Sus scrofa: one gene and its partner. The protein of the gene in region 2 interacts with the protein of the main gene of each other region in a pairwise test. Links are inferred from orthologs where the notes say so. Each region holds a gene or a part of one and is shown on either strand. Other genes may lie near its edges. The genes, in order: ARL2 and TBL1XR1.

Evidence for each region.
Region 1: the proteins of TBL1XR1 (region 2) and ARL2 interact in binary tests that used the Homo sapiens proteins (3 or more experiments, as listed by UniProt). The two-hybrid records come from large-scale screens. The link is inferred for Sus scrofa from reciprocal best matches to the Homo sapiens genes TBL1XR1 and ARL2.

Annotation. Positions count from the first base shown.
Region 1 is NC_010444.4:7,157,240-7,160,825, forward strand, and holds the end of ARL2 (ADP-ribosylation factor-like protein 2), read right to left. Parts: intron 3,184-3,586; coding exon 3,103-3,183; intron 1,996-3,102; exon of another isoform or gene 1,610-1,995; intron 1,186-1,609; coding exon 1,051-1,185; 3' UTR 724-1,050; downstream 1-723. UniProt on the Homo sapiens protein: Small GTP-binding protein which cycles between an inactive GDP-bound and an active GTP-bound form, and the rate of cycling is regulated by guanine nucleotide exchange factors (GEF) and GTPase-activating proteins (GAP).
Region 2 is NC_010455.5:115,338,065-115,341,882, forward strand, and holds part of TBL1XR1 (F-box-like/WD repeat-containing protein TBL1XR1), read right to left. Parts: intron 3,491-3,818; coding exon 3,349-3,490; intron 378-3,348; coding exon 314-377; intron 220-313; coding exon 122-219; intron 1-121. UniProt on the Homo sapiens protein: F-box-like protein involved in the recruitment of the ubiquitin/19S proteasome complex to nuclear receptor-regulated transcription units. Plays an essential role in transcription activation mediated by nuclear receptors.

The DNA of each region.
Region 1 (3,586 bases), on a different chromosome or scaffold from region 2:
ACCACAGCCACAGCCACGGCAGATCTGAGTTGCGTCTGTGACCTACATACACCACAGTTCACGGCAATGCATGGATCCTTAACCCAGTGAGGCCAGGGATGGAACCTGTGTCTCGTGGATGCTTGTCGGGTTCATTACCATTGAGCCACAGTGGGAACGCCCTAGGTGGATAGTTTTGGGTAAGTCACGTCTCCTCCCGGAGGCTCAGTTGCTTTATGAATGGGGACACTGAGAATCTGTCCTGTTTGGGGCTGTTCTTCAGTGTGATGGCAAGTGACAAATCTTCAGAGGGAACCCTGCAGAGAAAGCACCACTGGCAGGACCACAGCAGGGGGCCCTGTGAAAACTTCCATCTGCTCTGCCACCTGGATGGGGGTCCTGGGGTCCCCCTGGTTCCCATGCTCTCCCAGTCTGGTTCCTGCTTCAGAAATGCCCTTGAGCCTTGAGGGAAGGCCCCTTCGCAGCTCTGCTCTTCGTTAGCTTGCTCTACTTGATGCCTGCTCCTCCTTCCTGCATCGGAGTCCGTCCCCCCCGCTCCCCGCCTCCCTGCTCCCCCCTCACCCCGTCTCCCAGCAGCCCTGTCCTGCACTTTTCTAACTCTCTGCAGTCCCTTTCATACAGCGAGTTCACCTCGGACTGCAATTACCTTTTCTGTCCTCTGCTGGCCAATGAACTCCAGGCGGTCTCTAGGGTTGTTGAATCAACAAATGACTCAGCCAGGAATGGGGGCGAGGAACACTTTATTCTCACAGCTGAGCAAAAGACGAGGCCCACAGCCTTGACAGCAGCAGACGCAGCCCCCTCCCAGCCCCAGCCCTCTCTTCTTGGTATAGTTGCTGCTGCCGCAGGCCAAGTTAGGAGCCAGGGTGACAGCCAGGGCGGGAGCCGGCTGGCCCCGGAGCAGCAGTGGGCAGCAGTAGCAGCAGCAGGTTATGGAGTGGGGCAGGGGTGTTAGTGGGGCTGGCTGACTCCCATGCCCGCGTGGATGGTGCCTGGCGAGGGCCTGGTGGGGGCGCCTGGACCGTGAGGTGAGGGGGCATCTGGAGTGGCTCAGTCGGCCATGAAGATGCGGCTGGAGATGTCATCCAGGAGCCAGTCGATGCCAGGCAACAGGTTCTCCCCGGTGACGGCACTGCAGCCCTGGATGCACCAGTGGTGGCTGCGGATGGAGTCCAGCTCCAGGGCCTAGAAGGGAGGAAGGTGACAGAGGGCCCCGGTGTCCACAGGGCCCGACCCCCCTCAGCCCCTTTCCCCTCCTGGCCCAGGGGAAATCCACACCTCCCTCCAGGGCCTGCTGTGGGAGGCTTCCCCTGGCCCCTGGTGAAGATGTGTCACACACACCCCCGCACCCCGCTTCCGCTCCACCGTCCAGAGCACCTGAGCTCTCTGTACACGACAGCCAGACCAGCACGGCAACAAGGGCTCCCGATGTGGTGCTCTGGGCCCTACAGTATCCTCTCACCCATTCCCCCCCAAGGCCCCATGAGCCAGGGATTGTACTGGCCATTTTACTGAGGAGGAAACTTCAGAGAGGTTAAGCAACCTCCTAAAGTCACACAGCTAGTAAGTGGCAGAACCCAGTTTCTAACCCCACTCTTTCTCGTTCTAGCCTTCCAGTCTACAATCAGACTTAAGATGCACTCTGACAATGGGAGGTCCCAAGAAGGAACACGTGCTGCCAAATACTAACCAGGAGAATTTGGGAGGGGCCGAGAGAAGGAAGGAGGTGACCAACCTCCCAGGATCCTTGGCGCTGGAATCCATCTTGGCTGAGGGATGCATGTGCCACCAGAAAAGGACCCCAGCTCAGACCAAATTATGGGCCAAACAAGATGACTGGCCAGAGACAACCCAGACACTAACCTCATTACCATAAAACCTGAGGCTTTGAGCCACATGGCAGCAAATCCGATTCCCTTACCCTACTGTTCTCTGCCCAGGGAGCCTCTTCCCAATAAAGCTTTTTGCTTTGTCAAAAAAAAAAAAAAAAAAAAAGAGTTCCCATCCTGGTTCAGTGGCAACGAATCTGACTAGCATCCATGAGGATGCAGGTTCAATCTCTGGCCTCGCTCAGTGGGTTAAGGATCTGGTGTCACTATGAGCTGTGGTGTAGGTCGAAGGCTCGGCTCAGATCCTGAGTAGCTGTGGCTGTGGTGTAGACCAGCGGCTACAGCTCTGATTCGACCCCTAGCCTGGGAAAACTCCATATGCCACGGGTGCGGCCCTAAAAAGACAAAATATAAAAATAAAAAACAAATAGGAGTTCCCGTTGTGGCTCAGTGGTTAACAAATCTGACTAGGAGCCATGAGGTTGCGGGTTCGATCCCTGCCCTTGCTCAGTGGGTTAAGGATCTGGCGTTGCCGTGAGCTGTGGTGTAGGTTGCAGAGGTGGCTTGGATCGTGCGTTGCTGTGGTTGTGGCATAGGCCGGCGGCTACAGCTCCGATTAGACCCCTAGCCTGGGAACCTCCATATGCCGCAGAAGCAAAAAAAAAAAAAAAAGACAAAAATAAAAAACAAATAAAAGTGACTCAAAGACATTTAAAAAAAGTAAAGAGAGAGAGTTAAGATACAATCTGGAGTCACACCGGCCTGTGTTTAAATCCTGGCTTGTCTGCTTACCCTGTGACCCTGGGCCAGTTACCTTTCTAAGCCTGCCTCACTGTGTGTAGAATGATGTAATAGTTCCTACCTTGTGAGGTTGCTGTGCGAACTAAATGAGTTAATCCGTGCACAGCCTAGCACGTGGAAGCTACTGTTCCCTTGTGGAATAATCTATTTTCAGGTCTGCCTGCCCCTGGGCTGTGGGCTCAACTCTCTTACTAATCACTGACTCCCCAATACCCTGAGTAGGTCCTGCCACACGGCACGGCTAATACATGCTTATTCATTTATTTACTTATTTACTTATTGGCTGCACCTGTGGCATGTGGAAGTTCTCAGGACAGGGATCGAACCCACCCTCGCCATACCCATAACCAGAGTCACATCAGTGACAACGCTTGATCCTCAACCTGCTGAGCTGCCGGGGAACTCCCAACAAATGCTTCTTAAATTAACAAGGAAATGCATGCCCCTTCCTTCCTCCAAGGCCTGCACTCACCTCGCGAATCGCCTTAGAGGACAGTGCTCCGGGCAGGTCCTGCTTGTTGGCAAAGATGAGGAGGGTGGCACCAGCCAGGCGCTGGGGAAAGAGAAATAGAGGGGTGTGTGTGTGGGGGGGCTTCAGAGGGCAGCCTGGCCCCTCCACTGTTCACCCAGGGCAAGGTCCCATAGCAGTGGGAAAGACACAGGCGGGGTGGGGGTGGGGGAGATGGCCTTTGTGTCCAGCCATTTACGGGGTGGAGGGAGCCCCAGGCTGGGCTAGGCCCTTGGTTCCAGCCCAGTCACCACCCAGTGGGCACTGCTCTCCTCCGAGCCTCAGACCCTCTTCTGTAAACAGGGAGGGGGTGACGGACAGACGCTCCAGAGCCCTCCAGGTCTAGCCTGCTCCGCTCTGATGACCTGAGGTGCATGAAGAATGCGACTGTCCCAGGGGCTCTGGGGTCTGTTGGAAATGACCTTCCCTCTTCCAAGTTCACACAGCT
Region 2 (3,818 bases):
TGAGGCCAGGAATCAAACCTGCAACCTCATGGTTCCTAGTCTGATTCGTTAACCACTGAGCCACAACGGGAACTCCATAACAAATTAACCTTTATAGAAGTTAGTTTAATATTCTTTTTACCTTGTCTACTCCAGCACTTAGGATGAAATTTCCTTTCTTATTCCACTTTAATGCAAATATAGGACCTTTATGCTGCCCCAAGGTGCTAGCAAGGTTACCTAATATTCAAAAGGAAAAACATTAAAATTACTTTAAACTGTATAACTTAGATCAACACTAATAGCAAATGAAAAGAAAAAGTGCTTCATTTACCATCTTTAGTCCATATTCTGGCAAATCCATCATAGGAACCAGTTGCTAGAAGTGTACCTTCACTCTGTAAGAGAAACATACTTCTTCAATTAAAAAATCCAGAAAGGACATTTAATTGTTATCAGAATATTTCATGTTTAAATCCCAGGTACAGCTGATCTGTGACATTCTCTGCTTCAAAACCTTCAGCTTTGCCTACTTGGAAGAGCCATGAAAGGCCTACAGAAAACCCTTCATTGCTGTAGAATTTTGTCAGCATTTAGTCATGATGTGAGCCTCATGTCAAAATCTCAAGAATGGCAGCAACTGCTCTGGTGCAGGATCAACATCACTCTTGTGCATGCTAAAGTTTACTACATTCCCATAGGTGCACGTGACTAAAGATGGGGGTGGGGTGATGGATTAGGAAGGACATCAAAATCATAACTTTATAATGATTCAGGAAAAGTAGAGAGAACCCTTTCAAAATATTTCATTACGATTAGAAGTTTTTATAAAGACCTCCCTCTAAATCTTTTATTGTCTAAACTATGTGTCTGTATGTCTGTGTGTGTTCCAAATAATATTGTTGTTTCAGATGATCAGATACTTAAATATCACTGAATGTTTCTTTCCTTTCTTAATTATTTCCCAATATGAAATCCTTACAATAAAAACAGCAACACAAGAAAAAGAGCCAGAAAAGAGTGTAGACTGACTTTATAGTTAATGAAGTAAGTACAGTTGCCTGGAACTACTCTACTATGAGGAGAAATCTATACCAATTTCTCTAATCCTATATTCCCTTATTCCCTTACATGTGCCTTACTTGATTAATGGTACAACACAAGGACACACTTAACTTATTCTACGGAAGTACAAGTGACAGAATACACAAAACAGACTATTGCCCGGATGAGTAAACATTATTAGAGAGAGAGAGAGAGAGAGAGAGAGAGAGAATGCAAGCCTGCCTTACTCTGTACTTTTTGATACTTTCCAGTAAGTGTATTGAAAACACAGTCACCTTTTTCAGACCTCAAGTCATTTACCTGTACAGGTAAGTGGCAAACGAATGTTGGTTCTATGGGTTGTAGACTGAGATTTGCTAGGATTTGAAAAGGCCCTAAGGAAGAAGCAGCAATGCTGAAGCCAACAGCAAAATCTTAATTTCAGACTCGGAACAATGGAAAGTTTCCTTCTAAAATGGTCCCCAAATGTTTTAAGATCATGGACCACTAAAGTAGGAAAAGAACACTTTAAAGATCAGATATTTCACAGGCTCTTGCTTTAGTCATGGAAAAGAGCCATTAATCAACAGTAATATATTCCCCTTTTAGTGGAAGATTTAAGCTTGTAGTGAAAATAAATCTTCAAAAGTCCACACTTTAAAAAACTTTTAACTTGCAGTTCAGAACCACCAAGTTCAACATACCATTTATTAACCATTCTTTTCAGTGTAATCAGTAAACTTCATTTAATTAACATGGCCTCCAAGACAAACAGATTAAGAAAGACAGAAGGCCTTTAATCTATGATATAGTTAGGTACCATATTAAGAAGACAATTCTTAGTTCTGACCCTTCGACCAAGTAATAACTGAAATGTGCTAAACTTCTTTTCATTTCTAGAATTCTCAAATTTATACAGGGGAAGAATAAACACATTGCTGGAAATTTAGAAAAGAATATTAAAAAATCTTACCTATGAGTTCTGGAAGAATTTCATAGAGTAATCATGTTTAAAGATAGAGCTCATTTCTTGGAATAAGATTTGGAAAATCCTTTGGAAAGCCCCACAAAGTTGTTAAACAGAGGCCAGAGAAGGAGAAGATGTCCACTTGCTAAGGAAAGGACAGCTGACCCTAAAAATTCTTAGTAACACTGGTGTCTGAAAGGCTTCTCAGAACTGGGGTGGGGGGTGGTGTTTAAGAAACTGATGTAAAGTTACAAGGAAGAAAAAGGCAACATGGGATAAAGAGAAAGATACAGAAACTTTAAAAATGGTGATTTCCTGCAAATTAATAATGGGACTGCAAACAAAGCTGTTAATCATGTATTTGAGGAGTTCCTGCTGTGGCTCAACGGTAATAAACCCAACTAGAATCCCTCAGGATGCAGGTTCGACCCCAGGCCTCGCTCAGTAGGTTAAAGGATCTGGCATTGCGGTGGGCTGTGGTGTAGGTTGCAGATGCAGCCTGGATCTGCAGCTCCAATTTGACCCCTAGACTGGGAACTTCCATATGCCACAGCTGCAGCTCTTAAAAGAAAAAAAATCATATATCTGAAACTGAAAGGATAAAGCTTTATCAATAATGAAATAAAACTTTCTAGTAAATCAGAGTAGTCAAGTTATCCTAGAAAGATTCTGAATAATATATAGAATTAGAGAATGTTAAGATTCATACAGCTAGAATGCAGCTTGGAAGACATCTAGACAAACAGTTCCTGATGAAAACTTCATTGCCAACTGCATGCTAAGGTCTCCTATATTCCAATAGATGTACATGACTAAAGATGGAGTGGGGTGATAGTCTGGGAAGGACATCAAAATTATAACTTTATAATGATTCAGTAAAAGTAAAAGACAGCTGGCAAAGAAGTTTTTATCAGTTCTCAGCTAAATAAGAGAAAGAAGAATATGTTTTTATTGTACAGATTTCCCTTATACCTCCAGCAAAAGGCTTAGTAGTTAAGAATTTACTATGTGCTTGTTACTGATTTTCATTTTTACTTCATTTATGTGGGACCATTAATACATACATTAATACTTTACATGTAAGGAAAGTGAAGCACAGAGTGATAGACCAGTTATATGCAAAGGTTCTGCAGCTAGATAAACTGAGGAGCTGGAAGATGAACTTTGGCCTGCTTGCTTGAGCAGTCTTTGTTTTTGACACATTAGAGAGGTGGGGACTCCTAGTTTGTTGTTCTTACTAGTCAGTGAAATCCAAAAAGTAACTGAACAAACAGACATACCCTGTCTTAAGTCTGAGGCTCAGAGAAGTTCAGTATATTAATAACTAGATCCATCATGGACAATACAGTAATACTCACATTCCAATCTAGAGATGTCACATCCTTGTTGCTTGGGACATCTTGCCCTCCTTCTCGTATACAATGTCTAAGTACTAACTGTGTGGAGCCACTAGTGCTATTTTCACTAAGATTCCATATTCTTGCTGTTGAGTCTCCAGACCTATAAAGTATGCAATATATTTTAAATCCTCATGATATTCTCAAGTATTCCAGAATCAAGGCAACATATTTACATCCTATTATTAATAAGGCAAAAAAAAAAAAAAAAAAAAAAAACTAGACTATCAGAGATTTCCATTTCCAACATTTTTCTCAGTCTCCACTTTGGGGGCCACCAAGCACTAGCTTAATTAAAGCATCTAAGATTACATTATGAATAAATAAAGAGGTACAGAGGCAAAATGACCATAAATAAGCAACAACAAAACCCTGAAAATATAAGGAATGTATTTATAACATATACAATAATTCAGCAAGATACTTTTAGA